2 linked regions of the Anolis sagrei genome follow. The protein of the gene in region 1 purifies or fractionates together with the protein of each later gene. This does not show direct contact. Links are inferred from orthologs where the notes say so. Each region holds a gene or a part of one and is shown on either strand. Other genes may lie near its edges.

Region 1 (10,454 bases):
GTTCTGTTAATACCACAAACAAACATTACATTTTTATTTATATAGACTAGCTATACCCACCACGCTTTGCTGTGGCCAACCTTCCCTCTTTCTCTCCTTCTTTCCCTCCTTCCTTCACTCCCTCTTTCCTTCCTTCCAGTCTTTCCTTCCTTCTCTATCTCTTTCCTTCCTACCCCTTTTTTCTCTTCTGCTCTCTCTTTTCTTGCTTATTTTTCCTTCCCTCCCTCTTTCTCTACATCTTCCCCCTTCCTTCGCTCCCTCTTTCCTTCCTTCTTTCTGTTTTTTCTTTCCTTCTCTCCTTCCTTCCTTCTCTAAATTTCCGTCCTTCCCCTTTTTTCCTTCCCTCCCTCTTTCTCTCCTTTCTTCCTTCGCTACCTCTTTCCTTCCTTCCTTCTCTCTTTGCTTCCATGCTTCCTTCTCCCTTTCCTTCTTTCTTCCCCCCCCCCTTTTTTTCTCTCCTTCCCTCCCTCTTTCTTCCCTTTTTTCTGTATTGTCATTTAGCTTTTCGTCATTCAGCTTTTTGGGGCTTTTAAAGTCCCTTCTGCTGTGTTTTTCAGTGTTTTTATGAGTGAAGGACATACATTAGGTTGTTAGGTGTATGCTGTCCAAATTTGGTGTCAATTCTCCCAGTGATTTTTGAGTTCTGTTAATCCCACAAATGAACATTACATTTTTATTTATATAGATGATGATGATTATTATTATTAAGGCTGTTTGAATCTTATATAAATTAAAATTAGAACATGGAAGATACTATTAAAAAGCAATATGTAGTCAATTTGAAATGCTCATTTTTGTGCTTGGACTTTCCCCCATCTAAGGCCATTGAAATCTTCACAGCCTGCAGCAAGCCTGCAAAAAGAAGACACTGCCCTGCGGCTCTGAGCAAAAACCTGTGCGCAATGGGCTTGATTAGGCTGCTAGAAGTCATCACAACGCAGAAAACACCGCAACAATGGTATCCTAACAAGCACTTTTGCTGGCTCGTGTTTGATTGTGGAAGCCAGTTTGGGACTGCAGAGTGTCCGTGCGAATTAAAGAATCCCCTCTGCAAAAGGCTGACAACAAAGGTCCTTCTTTAACAAGCCCTCTGCAATGGAAATAACTTTTAAAGAATAAAATCAGAGGAGACAGAAAAGGTTGCCGAGTCTGTTTCTCTGGCGATTGAATACCTGGTGAGCATTTTCACAATTCTCTGCCTCCCTTGAGAGCATGTCACAATAATGAGCAGAATCTCATCCATGGGAGACTGCCTTTGAAATATTCTGCGTGGTGCCAATTTATATTTTTGTCTTCAAATGAAGAGAGGGAGGGTGTGTGTCCCTTCTTCCCCCCTCGCTCCACTCACCTCTTGTATTGAAAAGCAGGGCCTTAATAACACATTCCGCTGCCAAGAATCAAGGGCTTTGAGACAATGAAACACCTGAGGGACCGGACCCTGGGCCAAGCCTTGGGAGTGCCACTCCAGTTCACAATGAAAGCAAAGAGGGCAGGCAAAGAGTGAACAAAGGAGGCTGGGATGACAGAAGATCCCATGCCAAATCAAACAAGGAGCCAGCAATCTTGGTGTCTCGACAAAGAGGGGGAGCAGGAAGAGGCAATACGGGGCTATTTCTAGGTTTTACTCACAAAAGTAGTGGAAGTGTGGCTGACTGTGATCAGCAATACAGGAGCCTTGGATGGGAAAGGACATCAATCTGTATTTAGTCATTTGTAAGTGCTATCCAACCTATTCAACTTGTATGCAGAACACATCATGCGATGTGCGGGGCTTGATGAATGCAAGGCTGGGGTAGAAATTGCTGGAAGAAACAAGCAGGTTCGCAGCTTGGGAGTGATCCTGGACTCATCGCTGAGTCTGGAACTCCAGGTCTCAGCGGTGGCCGGGAGAGCTTTTGCACAATTAAAACTTGTGCGCCAGTTGCGCCCGTACCTTGGGAAGTCAGATCTGGCACATTGGTCCACGCTCTTGTTACATCCCGAATAGATTACTGCAACGCACTCTACGTGGGGTTGCCTTTGAAGACTGTTCGGAAACTTCAGTTAGTCCAGCGGGGGGCGGCCAGATTGCTCACTGGAGCATCATACAGGGAACATATCACCCCTCTGTTATGTCAGCTCCACTGGCTGCCAATCCAGTTCCGAGCGCAATTCAAAGTGCTGGTTCTGACCTACAAAACCCTATACGGCTCCGACCCAGTGTACCCGTCCGAACACATCTCCTTCTACGTCCCACCTCGGAGTTTAAGATCTTCTGGGGAGGCCCTGCTCTCGGCCCCACCTCTATCACAAGTTAGATTGGTGGGGACGAGGAGCAGGGCCTTCTCGGTGGTGGCCCCTCGCCTGTGGAATTGGCTTCCTGGGGAAATTAGGTCATCGACATCCCTCCTCTCTTTTAGAAGGCAACTAAAAACATGGATATGGGACCAGGCCTTTGGGTAATCTGGCAGATAGACAAAGGACAATGATGAGTAGAATTGATAGGATTTGACAATGTGGAATGAACTTATGGATTCTGAGCTTGGTGAACGTTGATCATTAGATTGGTTTTTTATTGATTGTGATGTATAAGTGGATTGTTTTAATTGTTTTATAATTGTTGTTGATACATGTTTTATCTTATTGTCTGTTTTATTGGCATCGAATTGTGCCTTTTGTAAGCCACCCTGAGTCCCCCCTCGGGGGTTGAGAAGGGCGGGGTAGAAATATGCGAAATAAATAAATAAATAAACCTTAGATATGCAGATGATACCACTTTGATGGCCGAAAGCGAGGAGGAGCTGAGGAGCCTGCTAATCAAGGTGAAAGAAGAAAGTGCAAAAGCTGGGTTGCAGCTAAACATAAAAAAAACAGGATTATGGCAGCCGGACTGATTGATAACTGGCAAATAGAGGGAGAAAACGTGGAGGCAATGACAGACTTTGTATTTCTAGGTGCAAAGATTACTGCAGATGCAGACTGCAGCCAGGAAATCAAAAGACACTTACTTCTTGGGAGGACCAACCTCGATAAAATAGTGAAGAGTAGAGACATCACATTGGTATGAAGATCTGCATAGTCAAAGCCATGGTATTCCCCGTAGTCACCTACGGATGTGAGAGCTGGACCATAGGGAAGTCTGAGCGAAGGAAGATAGATGCTTTTGAACTGTGGTGTTGGAGGAAAGTTCTGAGAGTGCCTTGGACCACCAGAAGATCCAACCAGCCCATACTCCAGGAAATGATGCCCGACTGCTCATTGGAGGGATGGATAGTAGAGGCAAAGATGAAGTATTTTGGCCACATCATGAGAAGACAGGAAATGGCAGGAAAAATGAGGAAAATTGCAGGAAAAAGGAAGAGGGGCAAGCTGGATGGATGGGATCCTTGAAGTGACTGGCTCGACCTTGAAGGAGCTGGGGGTGGGCTGGTCCATGAGGTCATGAAGAGTTGGAAGCGACTGAACGAATGAACAACAACAACATGAGAAAAAAAGTAGACCTCAATTCTAGAGAAGAAATTTAGGACTTCAGACCACGCAATAATTAAAGATAAGGGAATAGTTGTTTTGCCTTTAAGCTTTGCAACACCCCTTTTGGAAATTAATGATTTTCCTATCCCCATCACATGTTTTCCTTCATTTAGCTTTCTTATCAAATTATCCATGAGACTGGAATATCCATAGATTTTTATCTCCACAGGGTCTTGGAACTTGATATTCAGGCAGTGCTTCTTGTAGGTCAGAGAATGGTCCTGGGAGTCACTCTGGACCGTTCTCTGACCTACAAGAAGCACTGCCTGAACATCAAGCAAAAAGTGGGTGCTAGAAACAATATCATACAAAAGCTGACTGGCACAACCTGGGGATCACAACCAGATACAGTGAAGACATCTGCCCTTGCGCTGTGCTACTCTGCTGCTGAGTATGCATGCTCAGTGTAGAACACATCTCACCACACTAGAACAGTGGATGTGGCTCTTAATGAGACATGCCGCATTATCACGGGGTGTCTGCACCCTACACCACTGGAAAAATTACACTGTTTAGCCGGTATTGCACCACCTGACATCCGCCGGGAAGTAGCAGCCAATAGTGAAAGGACCAAGGCAGAGACATCTCCAGCTCATCCCCTGTTTGGGTATCAGCCAGCACGTCAGCGACTTAAATCTAGAAATAGTTTTCTAAGATCTACAGAGACACTCGCTGGAACACCTCAGCAAGCGAGAGTCCAAAAGTGGCAGGCTCAAACCCAGCACCTCAACCAATGGCTGATACCAGATGAGAGACTCCTTCCTGGGCACACAGAAAACTGGGCGACTTGGAAGGCACTGAACAGACTGCGCTCTCGCACCACGAGATGCAGAGCCAATCTTAAGAAATGGGGCTACCAAGTGGAGACGTGTGGAGAGGAGCAAACCACTGACCACTTCCTGCAATGCAACCTGAGCACTGCCACATGCACAATGGAGGACCTTCTTTCGGCAACACCAGAAGCACTCCAAGTGGCCAGCTACTGGTCAAAGGACATCAACATCTTTATTAATGACTTAGATGAAGGGCTAGAAGGCATGATCATCAAGTTTGCAGATGACACCAAATTGGGCGGGATAGCCAATACTCCAGAGGACAGGAGCAGGATTCAAAACAATCTTGACAGATTAGAGAGATGGGCCAAAACTAACAAAATGAAGTTCAACAGTGACAAATGCAAGATACTCCACTTTGGCAGGAAAAACGAAATGCAAAGATACAGAATGGGGGACAGTGCCTGGCTCGAGAGCAGTACGTGTGAAAAAGATCTTGGAGTCCTCATGGACAACAAGTTAAACATGAGCCAACAATGTGATGTGGCGGCAAAAAAAGCCAATGGGATTTTGGCCTGCATCAATAGGAGCATAGTGTCTAGGTCCAGGGAAGTAATACTATCACTCCATTCTGCCTTGGTTAGACCATATCTGGAATATTGTGTCCAGTTCTGGGCACCACAATTCAAGAGAGATATTGACAAGCTGGAATGTGTCCAGAGGAGAGCGACTAAAATGATAAAAGGTCCGGAGAACAAGCCCTATGAGGAGTGGCTTAAGGAGCTGGGCATGTTTAGCCTGAAGAAGAGAAGGCTGAGAGGGGATATGATAGCCATGTATAAATATGTGAGAGGAAGCCACAGGGAGGAGGGAGCAAGCTTGTTTTCTGCTTCCCTGGAGACTAGGACGCGAAACAATGGCTTCAAACTACAAGAGAGGAGATTCCATCTGAACATGAGGAAGAACTTCCTGACTGTGAGAGCTGTTCAGCAGTGGAACTCTCTGCCCCGGAGTGTGGTGGAGGCTGCTTATTTGGAAGCTTTTAAACAGAGGCTGGATAGCCATCTGTCAGGGGTGATTTGAATGCAATATTCCTGCTTCTTGACAGAATGGGGTTGGACTGGATGGCCCATGAGGTCTCTTCCATTCTTTGATTCTATGATTCTATGATTCTAAGGTGGTCAGCTGAAACATTCATACCTATCTTCAGCAGAGAGCTCCTTGCCCCACCTTGGTCATTCCACAGATATATAAACCCTTTTTCCTATTTCCAACAGACCTCACTACCTCTGAGGATGCTTGCCATAGATGCAGGCGAAACGTCAGGAGAGAATGCCTCTAGAACATGGCCATATAGCCCGAAAAAACCCACAAGAACCTAGTGATTCCAGCCATGAAAGCCTTCGACAATGCTATGACAACCGTTTGAGGGCGGGGCTATCCCCGGCGCCCCTGTCACGTGACAAGGAAATGCTTCAGGCTTTCTGGTCCAATAGGCGGCGCCCAGGGTCACGTGAAAGGGGCGCTCATGGCCGAGGGGGTTGGAAGCAGCAGCTGAGGGAGAAAGGAAGAGAAGGGACGGGAGGGGAAGGGAGGAAGGGGTCGTCGGGCAGCTGAAGGGAGGAGGAGGAGAGGGAGCAGTTCTGAGGGAAAGCGGGGCTCCAAGCCATGTCCATGGAGGACCCCTTCTTCGTGGTGAAAGGGTGAGTAGGCCGGGGCTGAGGCCTGGCTCTGGCTGAGCGGAAGCTGCGAGGGAGGTGGACTCCACCTGGTCCAAACAGTTCCATTGTTTTCCTTTTAGACAAGTTCATTAGAGGAAAGGTTCGGGGTTTTTCCCCCTATGTATATGTGTATGTCAATACCTATATCTATTTGTATTTATATCTATACTAGCTGTCGCCTGCCACGCGTTGCTGTGGCCCAGTCTGGTGATCTGGAAAATAAAGTAACGAGAAAGTGTTGGTTTCTAATATATGTAATTTCTTTGTGCTTGTGGGTAAGGAGTATTTCTTACTGTTAGTTTGTCAGTGTTGATGTGGAGAGTGTCTGGTTTGCCCACCCTGGAACATGCAAGATATCATTGTCTTTCTTTAAGGGTCCCTTTCAAATCTATGATACCAGGGGACAGCACCATCTTGTCTCCTGCATTTGCCATCAGTTGGGGACCCCTCCCCCCAGCACCAACTGCCACTCTGGGCCGGAGTGAAGAAAGGGGGGGGGGCAGGGGACAGTTCCACCTTGTCTCCTGTGCTATTCTAATAATATGTTATAATATAATATATAATATATTGTGTATACATATAATATTTATAATATTGTAATGTAATGCAATATACTACTACTAATAATAATAATATGATATTATAATTATATATTTACATTAAATGTAATATTACTAATAATATTACGGTATAATTGATATAGTGCAATATAGCAATATTTTTAAAACTGATATTGTACTATGTTAATAGTATATTGTATGTATATATACCTTGTAAACCGCTCTGAGTCCCCTTCGGGGTGAGAAGGGCGGCATATAAATGTCGTAAATAAATAAATAAATGTGTGTGTGAATCATATCTATCTATCTGTATCTATGGCTGGATGGGTCTTTGTCAGGAGGGCTTTGATTATGTTTTCTTGTCCTGGTGAAGGGAGCTGGACCACATGGCCTTAATTATGGGGGTTCTGTGTGGGAAGTTTGCCCCAATTCTGTCATTGGTGAGGTTCAGCATGCTCTCTGGTTGTAGGTGAACTGTGAATCCCAGTGACTACAAATCCCAAATGTCAAGGTCTATTTCCCCCAAACACCATCTGTGTTCATATTTGGGCATATTGAGTGCTTGTGCCAAGTTTGGTCCAGATCCATCATTGTTTGAGTCCACAGTGCGAGAAGATCCAATCAGTCCATCCTCCAGGAAATAAAGCCCAGCTGCTCACTGGAGGGAAGGATACTAGAGACAAAGTTGAAGTACTTTGGCCACATCATGAGGAGACAGCAAAGCCTAGAGAAGACAATTATGCTGGGGAAAGTGGAAGGCAAAAGGAAGAGGGGCTGACCAAGGACAAGATGGATGGATGGCATCCTTGAAGTGACTGGACTGACCTTGAAGGAGCTGGGGGTGATGACGGCCGACAGGGAGCTCTGGCGTGGGCTGGTCCATGAGGTCACGAAGAGTCGGAGATGACTGAACGAATGAACAACAACAACAACAGTGCTCTCTGGATGTAGGTGAACTACAGCTCCCAAACTCAAGGTCAATGCCCACCATACCCTTCCAGTATTTTCTGTTGGTCATGGGAGTTCTGTATGCCAAGTTTGGTTCAATTCCATTGTTAGTGGAGTTCAGAATGCTCTTTGATTGTAGGTGAACTATAAATCCCAGCAACTACAACTCCCAAATGACAAAATCATATTTTTTGAGTGGTGGTCACTCCTTGTGTTGTGAGATGTTTTGTTGCCAAATTTGGTGCGATTTCGTTCATTGGTTCTTTTGTTTTTAAGGTACTCATACACAGAGCATTTTTATAGATATAGAAGATAAATAAAAATGTAATGTTCATTTGTGGGATTAACAGAACTCAAAAACTACTATATGAATTGCTGCCAAATTTGGCCACAAGACACCTACTCACCCAAGGAGTGACCATCAATCAAAAAAAATATTGATTTTGTCATTTGGGAGTTGTAGTTGCTGGGATTTATAGTTTACTTCAAATCAAAGAGCATTCTGAACTCCACCAATGATGGTATTGAACTAAACCTGGCACACAGGACTCCCCAACACCAACAGAAAACAATAGAAGGGTTTGGTGGGCATTGACTGTGAGTTTGGGAGTTGTAGTTCACCTACACCCAGAGAGCACTGTGGGCTTTTGTACAATATTATTTCTAGTACCCACTAGATAATCAAGCAGTGCTTGTAAGTCATAGCACAGTCCAGTATTTTGGTATGCTGGAATGCTCCAGTGGGATTCCTTCCCAGATAATCCTCAGAGCTCGAGAGGCTTGTTCTTAAGATGAAAAGCACATCTGCGTTTTAGATGGATTAGGAATCAGCTTGTTTTCCCAGTAATAGGCAGATGAAACTAAATTAGGAGGGATAGCTAATGCACCAGAGGACAGAATCAGAATTCAAAAGGACCTTAACAGATTATAGAGCTGGGCCAAAATTAACAAAATTTTCTCTCTACAAGGATTCCCTCTATAGATTTCTCTCTACAAGGATTCCCTCTATAGACAACATCTACTATTTTATTTCAATTACCCAATACTAAATGGTATGAAAGATCAAGCTTAAAATAGTTGATATTTCAGTGCAGGCACATAAGCATATGGTTATTTATTTATTTATCATGTCGGGCAACCGAACAGTTGTATTACATTTTTGACAGAACAAACAAACAAACATACAAAAGACACAGAATTTGCAAGCTTGGTAGTTGATTAAATGTCCTTTGACTACTGGCCACTTGGAGTGCTTCTGGTGTTGCCGCAAGAAGGTCATCCATTGTGCATGTAGCAGGGCTCAGGTTGCATTGCAGCAGCTGGTCTGTGGTTTCCTCTTCTCCACACTTGCATGTTGTGGATTCCACTTTGTAGCCCCATTTCTGAAGGTTGGCTCTGCATCTCGTGGTGCCAGAGTGCAGTCTGTTCAGCGCCTTCCAAGTTGCCCAGTTTTCTGTGTGCCCAGGGGGGAGTCTCTCATTGGGTATCAGCCATTGATTGAGGCTCTGGGTTTGAGCCTGCCACTTTTGGACTCTCATTTGCTGAGGTGTTCCAGCAAGTGTCTCTGTAGATCTTAGAAAACTATTTCTTGAGTTAAGTTGTTGACGTGCTGGCTGATGCCCAAACAAGGGATGAGCTGGAGATGTCTCTGCCTTGGTCCTTCCACATAGTATTAAATGTGTTTACAGATAGCAAGTTGCCATCCTTAGTAATGATAATGAGATGTTCTGTCACGTTTAAATGATCTTTAATTCATTTATTTTCCTTGATTTCCAGGGAAGTTCAAAAGGCAGTGAATACTGCCCAGGGGCTCTTCCAGAGATGGACGGAGCTCCTGCAAGATCCATCTACAGCTACAAGAGAAGAAATTGACTGGACCACCAATGAGCTAAGGAACAATCTAAGGAGCATTGAGTGGGATCTTGAGGACTTAGATGAAACTATTAATATCCTTAAGGTTCTCTGATCAATAACTAAATGAACCTACGTAGTATTTATCCAGAAAACCTGGTGGTTTTGTGACAGTCATTTAATCCAATAAATAAATATGTTTCAGTATAGCTGATGTTGTACATGTTGTTGATACCAGAAAGTTACTTCTCATGCTTCAAGTTATCCTGTACAAGTCCATTTGTATTTCCTCTTCCATGTGCTATAGTTCCTTAAAAAGTGTTATTAAAGGCAAATATACTAAATAGCCATGGCATACCAAGGCAGCTGAGAACCTCAGAATTGTTTAAAAAAATTGAAGTAAGTACAAGTACTTTTAATATTAGTTGTCTGTTTCAAGTATATTAAAAAAAAACAACCCAGAAAATAAAATAGCCACACTCATAGAATCATAGAGTTGGAAGAGACCACATAGGACATCCAGTCCAACCCCCTGGCATTCAGGAAAAGCACAATTAAAGCTCCCTCGACAGATGGCCATCCAGCCTCTGTTTCAAAGCATTGTAGACATTTTACATATACTTTTGAAGCACATTCTAAAAATGATCTGATGAATTGTTATTGTTAACAATAATTACACTATGTAACAAAATTTGAAAAAAGTTATGTTCCTGGTAATTTCTGTTTCATTGTGTGGTCCTTACTTTGAAAGTAGTTGCTCTACTCCAGAAACATCATTTTTGTGGATGCCACAAATTATATTGAATTGGTTAAGAATCTACGACATATTCACTGAAAAACTATAGCAAAATGTGCTGCAGGATGTCCCGCAAAAACAAAGTTTTTGCAGTTTAATAAACCTATTCCATGTTTTTATCATAGAACCAATTAGGGAATGACAGTGTTATTTTTAAAAGGCCTTCTTACTGCTTATTAGGGTAATCTGTATAGCAGACAATTTCCTTAACTGGCTGTTATCAACGCATTGTTGAAGCTAATCCTCGGAAGTTCAACCTCGATGCAACGGAACTGGGTGTAAGAAAAGCCTTCAT
Region 2 (10,694 bases), on another chromosome or scaffold:
AAACGCAGGAAGAAAGGGAAAGAAATGCAGAAAAAGTGGGAGAGAAACACGGGAAAAGAGGGGAAAACGCAAGAAGGAAGGGAAAGAAATGCGAAAAAAGTGGGAGAGAAACACGGGAAGAGAGGGAAAGAAACGCGGGAAGAAAGAGAAAGAAACACGGGAAGAAAGGGAAAAATGCGGGAAGAAAGGGAAAAACGCAGGAAGAAAGGGAAAGATGCGGAAAAAGTGGGAGAGAAACACAGGAAAAAAGGAAAAGAAATGCGGAAAAAGTGGGAGAAAAACACGGGAAGAGAGGGAAAAACACAGGAAGAAAGGGAAAGAAATGCGAAAAAAGTGGGAGAGAAACACAGGAAGAGAGGGGAAAACGCAGGAAGAAAGGGAAAGAAATGCGAAAAAAGTGGGAGAGAAACACGGGAAGAGAGGGAAAGAAACGCGGGAAGAAAGAGAAAGAAACATGGGAAGAAAGGGAAAAATGCGGGAAGAAAGGGAAAAACGCAGGAAGAAAGGGAAAGAAATGCGGAAAAAGTGGGAGAGAAACACAGGAAAAAAGGAAAAGAAATGCGGAAAAAGTGGGAGAAAAACACGGGAAGAGAGGGAAAAACACAGGAAGAAAGGGGGGGAAATGCAGAAAGAGTGGGAGAGAAACATGGGAAGAGAGGGAAAGAAACACAGGAAGAACTGGAAAAAGACAGGAAGAAAGGGAAAGAAATGCGGAAAAAGTGGGAGAGAAACACGGGAAGAGATGGAAAGAAACACGGGAAGAAAGGGAAAAACGCAGGAAGAAAGGGAAAGAAATGCGGAAAAAGTGGGAGAGAAACACGGGAAGAGATGGAAAGAAACACGGGAAGAAAGGGAAAAACGCAGGAAGAAAGGGAAAGAAATGCGGAAAAAGTGGGAGAGAAAAATGGGAAGAGACGAAAAAACGCAGGAAGAAAGGGAAAGAAATGCAGAAAAAGTGGGAGAGAAACACGGGAAGAGAGGGAAAGAAACACGGGAAGAAAGGGAAAGAAACGCGGGAAGAAAGAGAAAGAAACACGGGAAGAAAGGGAAAAATGCGGGAAGAAAGGGAAAAACGCAGGAAGAAAGGGAAAGAAATGCGGAAAAAGTGGGAGAGAAACACAGGAAAAAAGGAAAAGAAATGCGGAAAAAGTGGGAGAAAAACACGGGAAGAGAGGGAAAAACACAGGAAGAAAGGGGGGGAAATGCAGAAAGAGTGGGAGAGAAACATGGGAAGAGAGGGAAAGAAACACAGGAAGAACGGGGAAAAGACAGGAAGAAAGGGAAAGAAATGTGGAAAAAGTGGGAGAGAAAAACGGGAAGAGAGGGAAAAAACGCAGGAAGAAAAGGAAAGAAATGCAGAAAGTGTGAGAGAGAAACACGAGAAGAAGAGAAAACACAGGAAGAAAGGGAAAGAAATGCAGAAAAAGTGGGAGAGAAACACGAGAAGAGAGGGAAAGAAACACAGGAAGAACGGGAAAAACGCAGGAAGAAAGGGAAAAACGCAGGAAGAAAGGGAAAGAAATGCAGAAAAAGTGGGGGAGAAACACAGGAAGAAAGGGAGAAACGAAGGAAGAAAGGGAAAGAAATGCGGAAAGAGTGGGAAAGAAACACGGGAAGAGAGGGAAAAATGCAGGAAGAAAGGGAAAGAAATGCGGAAAAGGTAGGAGAGAAACACGGGAAGAGGGAAAAACACAGGAAGAAAGGGAAAGAAATGGAGGAAAAGTGGGAGAGAAACACGGGAAGAGAGGCTAAGAAACACGGGAAGAAAGGGAAAAACACAGGAAGAAAGGGAAAGGATGCGGAAAGAGTGGGAGAGAAACACAGGAAGAAAGGGAGAAATGCAGGAAGAAAGGGAAAGAAATGCGGAAAAGGTAGGAGAGAAACACGGGAAGAGGGAAAAACACAGGAAGAAAGGGAAAGAAATGAAGGAAAAGTGGGAGAGAAACACGGGAAGAGAGGGTAAGAAACACGGGAAGAAAGGGAAAAACACAGGAAGAAAGGGAAAGAAATGCGGAAAAGTGGGAGAGAAACATGGGAAGAGGGGAAAATGCAGGAAGAAAGGGAAAGAGATGCGAAAAGAGTGGGAGAGAAACACGGGAAGAGAGGGAAAAATGCAGGAAGAAAGGGAAAGAAATGGAGGAAAAGTGGGAGAGAAACACGGGAAGAGAGGGAAAGGAACATGGGAAGAAAGGGAAAAATGCAGGAAGAAAGGAAAAGAAATGCGGAAAGAGTGGGAGAGAAACACGTGAAGAGAGGGAAAAATGCAGGAAGAGAAGGAAAGAAATGCGGAAAGAGTGGGAGAGAAACACGAGAAGAGAGGGAAAGAAATACGGGAAGAAAGGGAAAAACGCAGGAAGAGAGGAAAAGAAACATGAGAAGAGAGGGAAAACGCAGGAAGAAAGGAAAAGAAATGTGGAAAGAGTGGGAGAGAAACACGGGAAGAGAGGGAAAAACGCAGGAAGAAAGGGAAAGAAATGCAGAAAAAAGTGGGAGAGAAACACGAGAAGAGAGGGAAAGAAATACGGGAAGAAAGGGAAAAACGTAGGAAGAGAGGAAAAGAAACATGGGAAGAGAGGGAAAACGCAGGAAGAAAGGGAAGGAAATGCGGAAAGAGTGGGAGAGAAACACGGGAAGAGAGGGGAAACGCAGGAAGAAAGGGGGGGAAGCGGAAAGAGTGGGAGAGAAACACGGGAAGAGAGGGAAAAACACAGGAAGAAAGGGGAAAACGCAGGAAGAAAGGAAAAGAAATGCAGAAAAAGTGGGAGAGAAACACGGGAAGAGAGGTAAAGAAACATGGAAAGGGAAAGACGCTGGAAGTGTGGGAAGGAAACGTGGAACGAGAGGGAAAGAAACATGGGGGAAAGGGAAAGAAATGCAGAAAGGGGAAAATGCAGAAAGAGGGAAAGACGCAGAAAGCAGGAAAAACTGAACGAGAGGGAAAGAAATGCAGAATGAGGGGAAGAAATGCGGAAAGAAACGGGAAGAGAAGGAAAGAAACATGAAAAGAAAGGGAAAGAAATGCGGGAAAGGGGGAAAGAAACACATAAAGAGAGGGAAAGAAATGTGGGAAGAGGGGAAAAGAAACACGGAAAGAAAGGAGAGAAACACTGGAAGAGGGGGAAAGAAATGCAGAAAGAGGGAAAGATGAAGGAAGAGAGGAAAAGAAACATGGAAAGAAAAGGAAAGAAAAACTGAAAGAGGGGGAAAGAAACGTGGAAAGAAAGGGAAATAAATGTGGGAAGAAAGGAAAAACTCGGAAAAGGGGGGAAAGAAGTGCAGAAAGAGGGAAAGAAACGTGGGAAGAAAAGGGGGAAAAGGGAAAGAAACGCAGAAAAAGAGGGGGACAATTGTGGTTTTTTGATTGACTACGACTGTATATCCTGCGGAGGCGCTGTTTTGATGTGTGGCCTGACAACCGGGATGCATCCCATCAGCTACAATCTTGCAATAACTTCCAGGCTTCGTCACGGCGCAATATTAGGGGGGAAAGGGTTTAAAAAGTGACCACAAGGAGGCATTTGAATGGATTCGGAGGAGCCGGCCTTCCACGGCAGTGTGAGCTGAAGTGGTTTCAAAAGGTAAGAATCCATCTCTCAGGGGTGCTTTGAATGCGATTTCTGGGTTTGAGCCTGCCACTTTTGGACTCTCGCTTGCTGGGGTGTTCCAACGAGTGTCTCTGTAGGTCTTAGGAAACTATTTCTTGATTTAAGTCGTTGACGTGCTGGCTGATACCCAAACAGGGGATGGGCTGGAGGTGTCTCTGCCTTGGTCCTTTCACTATTGGCTGCTCCTTCCCGGCGGATGTCAGGTGGTGCAATACCGGCTAAGCAGTGTAATGTCTCCAGTGGTGTAGGGCGCAGACACCCCGTGATAATGCGGCATGTCTCATTAAGAGCCACATCCACTGTTTGAGCGTGGTGAGATGTGGTCCACACTGGGCATGCAGATTCAGCAGGAGAGTTATCATGTGAATGGATTTATATCTATCTATATATATAAATGCTCTGTGCATCATGAGTCCCTTAAAAACAAAAGAACCAATGAACGAAATCACACCAAATTTGGCAACAAAACGTCTCACAACACAAGGAGTGACCATCACTCAAAACATTATGATTTTGCCCTTTGGGAGTTGTAGTTGCTGGGATGTATAGTTCACCTACAATCAAAGAGCGTTTTGAACCCCACTGACGTTGGAATTGAACCAAACTTGGCACACAGTTCTCCCATGACCAACAGAAATATACTGGAAGGGTTTGGTGGGTAGTGTCCTTTGGTTTTGGAGTTGTAGTTCACCGACATCCAGAGATCACTGTAGACTCCAACAATGATGGATCTGGACCAAACTCTACACGAATACTCAATATGCCCATATGTGAACACTGGTGGAGTTTGGGGAAAATAGAATCTTGACATTTAGGAGTTGTAGTTGCTGGGATTTATAGTTCACCTACAATCACAGAGCATTCTGAACCCTATCAAACTTCCCACACAGAACCCCCACAGCAACGCGTGGCAGGGGACGGCTAGTAATAAATAAATAAATAAATAAATCATAGAATCAAAGAGTTGTAGAAATCTTACAGAATCATAGAATCAAAGAGTTGGAAGAGACCTCATGGGCCATCCAGTCCAACCCCATTCTGCCAAGAAGCAGGAATATTGCATTCAAATCTTCTTTGATGATTTCTCCCTTTTCCCACTTCTTGTGCATGTCTCTTTTGAGTCGTAGCACAGTTAGAAGTTCTTTGGACATCCATTCTGGCTTCTTTTTGCACTTGTCCTATTTTTCCTCTTTGTTGGCACAGTTTGCAATTGCGCCTTGAGTATTTCACTCTTGAGAAATTCCCATCCCATCCGTGACCAGGTTGGTTCATCAGGTGCTCTGCTGTGGCTGACTTCTCCAGTTGAGCTAGTCTACAGGGCCTTTCATATTCTTTGATTCATGCCTGGGCAATGCTGCTGCGTTGGGGGTCTCTATTGAGAGAAGCCCGGGAGTGTGGCGCAGCTGGCTGAGTGTCAGATGCATTAAGATCACTCTGACCAAAAGGTCATGAGTTCGAAGCCAGCCCGGGTTGGAGTGGGTTTCCAATCAATTGTGTAGCCTGTTGTCGACCTTTGCAACCCGAAAGACAGTTGCATCTGTCAAGTAGGAAAATTAGGTACCACCTTAAAGTGTGGGGAGGCTAAATATGTGAGAGGAAGCCACAGGGAGGAGGGAGCAAACTTGTTTTCTGCTTCCCTGGAGACTAGGACGCGAAACAATGGCTTCAAACTACAAGAAAGGAGATTCCATCTGAACATGAGGAAGAACTTCCTGACTGTGAGAGCCGTTCAGCAGTGGCACTCTCTGCCCCGGAGTGTGGTGGAGGCTCCTTCTTTGGAAGCTTTGAAACATAGGCTGGATGGCCATCTGTCAGGGGTGATTTGAACACAATATTCCTGCTTCTTGGCACAATGGGGTTGGACTGGATGGCCCATGAGGTCTCTTCCAACTCTTTGATTCTATGATTCTATGAAATAAATCATAGAATCAAAGAATTGGAGAAATCTTCTTTGGTGATTTCTCCCTTTTTCCACTTCTTGTGCATGTCTCTTTTGTGTCTTAGCACAGTTAGTTCTTTGGACATCCGTTCTGGCTTCTTTTTGCACTTGTCCTATTTTTCCTCTTTGTTGGCACAGTTTGCAATGAGGAATTCCCATCCCATCGGTGACCAGGTTAGTTCATCAGGTGCTCTGCTAGGGCTGAGTTAGTCTAGAGTGCCTTTCATATTCTTTGATTCGTCCCTGGGCAATGCTGCTGCGTTGGGGGTCTCTATGGAGAGAAGGCTGGGATTGTGGCGCAGCTGGCAAAGTGTATGCAATCAAAGAGTTGGAGAAATCTTCTTTGGTGATTTCTCCCTTTTTCCACTTCTTGTGCATGTCTCTTTTGTGTTTTAGCACAGTTAGAAGTTCTTTGAACATCCATTCTGGCTTCTTTGCACTTGTTCTATTTTTCTCTTTTTTGGCACAGTTTGCAATTGCGTCTTGAGTATTTCACTCTTGAGAAATTCCCATCTACCCATGACCAGGTTGGTTCATCAGTTAGTCTACAGTGCCTTTCATATTCTTTGATTCGTCCCTGGGCAATGCTGCTGCGTTTGGGGTCTCTATGGGGAGAGATGGCCCCCAGGGTGTCTTCCAACTCTGGGATTCTCTGTCTGGGAGGAATACGAGCCCTTCCCAGGCCAAAGGCAATCCCAAGGCAGGGCGGTGCTGCGCCTCTCCCAGCTGAAGGCAATCCAAGGGCGGCCAGGAAGGAAAGCACTCCATGAAACTCTGCCCAGCTGTTGCTCCAGTGTCTCCACCTCTTTCTCTCTCTGCCTGCCTCTGGGGGCCCTTTCCCTGGCCTTGGGTTGGGCTCCCTTCCTTCCTTCCTGGAGGAGGGGCCAGTGCCAAAGTGGGAGAAGCAGCAGCAAGAGCAACCGGAGCAGCTAAGAGACCCTTGGAGAAGAGCTTGGATTGTCCCCCTCCTCTTCCTCTGCTATCATGTGAGTGACCCCTTTCCCTCCTCCTTCCCTGTTTCCTCCCCCCACAATACCAGGCCACAACACTTTCGTTTTCAGCCTTCCTTCCTGGTTCTCTGGGGCTGGGCCCAGCAGCGCCTTGAGACACACCACAAGCTCTGCCTGGGGGGGGGGGGAATCCCCCCCACAAGGCAACCCAGGGGTCTCTGCAAAGCCAGGGGTGAAAGCAAAGCAACGCGTTGCTAGTAAATAAATAAATAAATAAATTATAGAATCAAAGAGTTGGAGAAATCTTCTTTGTTGATTTCTCCCTTTTTCCACTTCTTGTGCATGTCTCTTATGTCTTTGCGCCTCTGAGAGTGAGCCCACAACAAGAAGACCAACTTGGGAGTGGAGGCAAGAGGCCTTGGAAATACTCCAACCACAATGGGAGGCACACTCCTTGCTTACTCTTCCCACTCTCAAGCGAGAGGCGTGCAATGGGACACTATGCAACAAAACGTGCAAAATGTTTCTGCTTTGAAAGTGTTGCTTCCTGTGTCGTTGTGCGGCACTTCCTACTCCGGCAACTTTGTGTTTGGTGGTTGCCACAAAGGTTGGGAACTCAATGAGGGTGAAACAACCTGAGCAAAACGAGCTGGAAGATGTGAAAAGTTTGGGCAGCTTAACAAACTTTTCCCAAGTTTTGATAATAGAACCAAATAAGGACATTTATAACCCGGCAACAAAAAAAAAATCGTGTTACATAGTATTATAATAATATTTATTATACCCACCTCTCCTCTTGTATTAATAATAATAATAATAATAATAATAATAATAATAATATTGTCCTTATTTCCTCCTTGGTTCTATTATCAAAACATGGGAAACATTTTTTAAGCTGCCCAAACCCTAATAATAATAATAATAATAATAATAATAATAATAATTTTATTTCTTACCCACCTCTCCTCTTCTATTATTATTATTATTATTATTAAAATTTATTTTCTTATTTTATTTATTAATAATAATATTTTTATTTCTTACCTGCCTCTTGTATTATTATTATTATTATTATTAAAATTTATTTCTTTATTTTATTATTTATTATTAATAATAATACTTTTATTTCTTACCTGCCTCTCCTCTTGTATTATTATTATTATTATTAAATTTTATTTTATTATTTTATTTATTATTAATTAATAATAATATTTTTATTTCTTACCCATCTCTCCTCTTCTATTATTATTATTATTAAAATTTTATTTTCTTATTTTATTTATTATTTATTAATAATAATAATATTTTTATTTCTTACCCACCTCTCCTCTTGTATTATTATTATTATTAAAATTTATTTCCTTATTTTATTTATTATTTATTATTTATTATTAATAATATTTTTATTTCTTACCTGCCTTTCGTCTTGTATTATTATTATTATTATTATTATTATTATTATTAAAATTTATTTCCTTATTTTATTTATTATTTATTATTAATAATATTTTTATTTCTTACCCGCCTCTTCTCTTGTATTATTATTATTATTAAAATTTATTTATTTATTTATTATTATTATTAATAATAATATTTTTATTTCTTACCTGCCTCTCCTCTTGTGTTATTATTACTATTATTAAATTTTATTTTCTTATTTTATTTATTATTAATAATAATATTTTATTTCCTACCTGTCTCTCCTCTTGTATTATTATTATTATTATTATTATTATTATTTTAATTCTGACTCGCCTCTCCTCTTGTACTACTATTATTACTATATATTATAACAAATAATGATAATAATATAATTTTATTTCTTACCAACCTCTTGTCTTATTTTATTTCTTACCCGCCTCTCCTCTTGTATTATTATTATTATTATTATTATTAAAATTTATTTTCTTATTTTATTTATTATTTATTATTAATAATAATACTTTTATTTCCTACCCGCCTCTCCTCTTGTATTATTATTATTATTATTATTATTATTATTGCCTAGTTTCCAACAGGCCTCACAACCTCTGAGGATACCTGCCATAGATGTAGGCAAAACGTCAGGAGAGAATGCTTCTGGAACATGGCCAGACAGCCCAGAAAACTCACAGCAACCTTATTATTATTATTATTATTATTATTATTATTATTATTATTATTGCCTAGTTTCCAACAGGCCTCACAACCTCTGAGGATACCTGCCATAGATGTAGGCAAAACGTCAGGAGAGAATGCTTCTGGAACATGGCCAGACAGCCCAGAAAACTCACAGCAACCTTATTATTATTATTATTATTATTATTATTATTATTATTATTGCCTAGTTTCCAACAGGCCTCACAACCTCTGAGGATACCTGCCATAGATGTAGGCAAAACGTCAGGAGAGAATGCTTCTGGAACATGGCCAGACAGCCCAGAAAACTCACAGCAACCCTATTATTATTATTATTATTGTTATTATTAGTTTATTTCTTAATCACCTCTCCTCTTGTATTATTATTATTATTATTATTAATACTAATAATAATAATAATAATACAATACTCCTCTTGTACTACTACTATTAGTACTATATAGTATTATAACACATAATGATAGTAGTATTGTCGAAGGCTTTCATGGCCGGAATCACTGGGTTGTTGTAGGTTTTCTCGGGCTATATGGCCATGGTCTAGAGGCATTCTCTCCTGACGTTTCGCCTGCATCTATGGCAAGCATCCTGAGAGGTAGTGAGGTCTGTTGGAACTAGGAATGACCAGGGTGGGACAAAGGACTCTTGTCTGCTGGAGCTGGGTGTGAATGTTTCAACTGACCACCTTGATTAGCATATAATGGTCTGACAGTGCCTGGAGCAATCTTTTGTTGAGAGGTGATTAGATGTGCCTGATTGTTTCCTCTCTGTTGTGTTGCTGTTGTAATTTTAGAGTTTTTTTTTAATACTGGCAGCCAGATTTTGTTCATTTTCATGGTTTCCTCCTTTTGTTGAAATTGTCCACATGCTTCTCGTGGATTTCAATGGCTTTTCTTACACAGCAGACAAGAGTCCTTTGTCCCACCCTGGTCATTCCAGAGATATATATAAACCCTTTTTCCTAGTTCCATATAGCCCGAAAAAACCTACAACAACCCAATGATAATAGTAGTAGTAGTAGTAACGACGATAATAATAATAATAATAATAATAATAATAATAATAATAATAATAATAATTGTACAAGAGGAGAGGCAGGTAAGAAATAAAATAATAATAATTGGGTTGCTGTGAGTTTGCCAGGCTGTCTGGCCACGTTCAAGCATTCTCTCCTGACGTTTCGCCCACATCTATGGCGGGCATCCTCAGAGGTTGTGAGGCCTGTTGAAAAATAGGCAAGCGGGGTTAATATATCTGTGGAATAATGCCCAGGGTGGGAAAAAGAACTCATGTTTGCTTGCGACGAGTATGAAAGCAACAGCTTAATTAGCATTGAATAGCCTTGTAGCTTCAAAGCCTGGGTGGTTACTGCCTGGGGGGAATCCTTTGTTTGGAGGTGTAAGCTAGCTGTGATTGTTTCCTGCTTGGAATTCCCCTGGTTTTTTAGTGTTCTTCTTTATTTACTGTCCTGATTTTAGAGCTTTTTAATAGCCAGGTTTTGTTCATTTTCATGGTTTCCTCCTTGGCTTCTTGTAGTTTCAACGGCTTCTGTGTCGCTTGACATGGTAGTTGTGAGAGTGGTCCAGCATTTCTGTGTTCTCAGATAGTATTCTGTGCCCAGGTTGGTTCCTCAGGTGCTCTGCTGTGGCTGAAGTAGTCTACCGTGCCTTTCATCTTCCTTGACTCCTCCCTGGAGAATGCTGTGTTTGGTCATCCCTCTGTAGAGTTGTCCACAGCTGCATGGCATACAGTAGACTCCATTAGAGGTGTAGACAAGTCTCCATAGAGACCACCAAAGGCAGCAGCATTGCCCAAACACGGATCAAGGAACATGGAAGGCACTGCAGACTACGTCAACCAGAGAAGTCAGCCATAGCAGAGCACCTCATGAACCAACCTGGACACAGCAGATTATTGGAGAACACAGAAATGCTGGACCGCTCTCACAACCACCATGTCAGGCTACACAGAGAAGCCATTGACATCCACAAGAAGCAGGTGGACAATTTCAACAGAAAGGAGGAAACCATGAAAATGAACACAATCTGGCTGCCAGTATTACAA

What was found. The genes of interacting proteins can lie anywhere in the genome.
Region 2: the proteins of STX6 (region 1) and VAMP3 purify together in Homo sapiens (affinity purification with mass spectrometry; 5 studies listed by BioGRID and IntAct, counting the BioPlex papers as one, with this or other methods). This does not show direct contact. The link is inferred for Anolis sagrei from reciprocal best matches to the Homo sapiens genes STX6 and VAMP3.

The regions. Positions count from the first base shown.
Region 1 is NC_090024.1:124,842,237-124,852,690, forward strand, and holds the start of STX6 (syntaxin-6), read left to right. Parts: upstream 1-5,775; 5' UTR 5,776-5,951; coding exon 5,952-5,986; intron 5,987-9,288; coding exon 9,289-9,458; intron 9,459-10,384; coding exon 10,385-10,454. UniProt on the Homo sapiens protein: SNARE promoting movement of transport vesicles to target membranes. Targets endosomes to the trans-Golgi network, and may therefore function in retrograde trafficking.
Region 2 is NC_090033.1:20,404,802-20,415,495, forward strand, and holds the start of VAMP3 (vesicle-associated membrane protein 3), read left to right. Parts: upstream 1-6,368; 5' UTR 6,369-6,528; coding exon 6,529-6,530; intron 6,531-10,694. UniProt on the Homo sapiens protein: SNARE involved in vesicular transport from the late endosomes to the trans-Golgi network.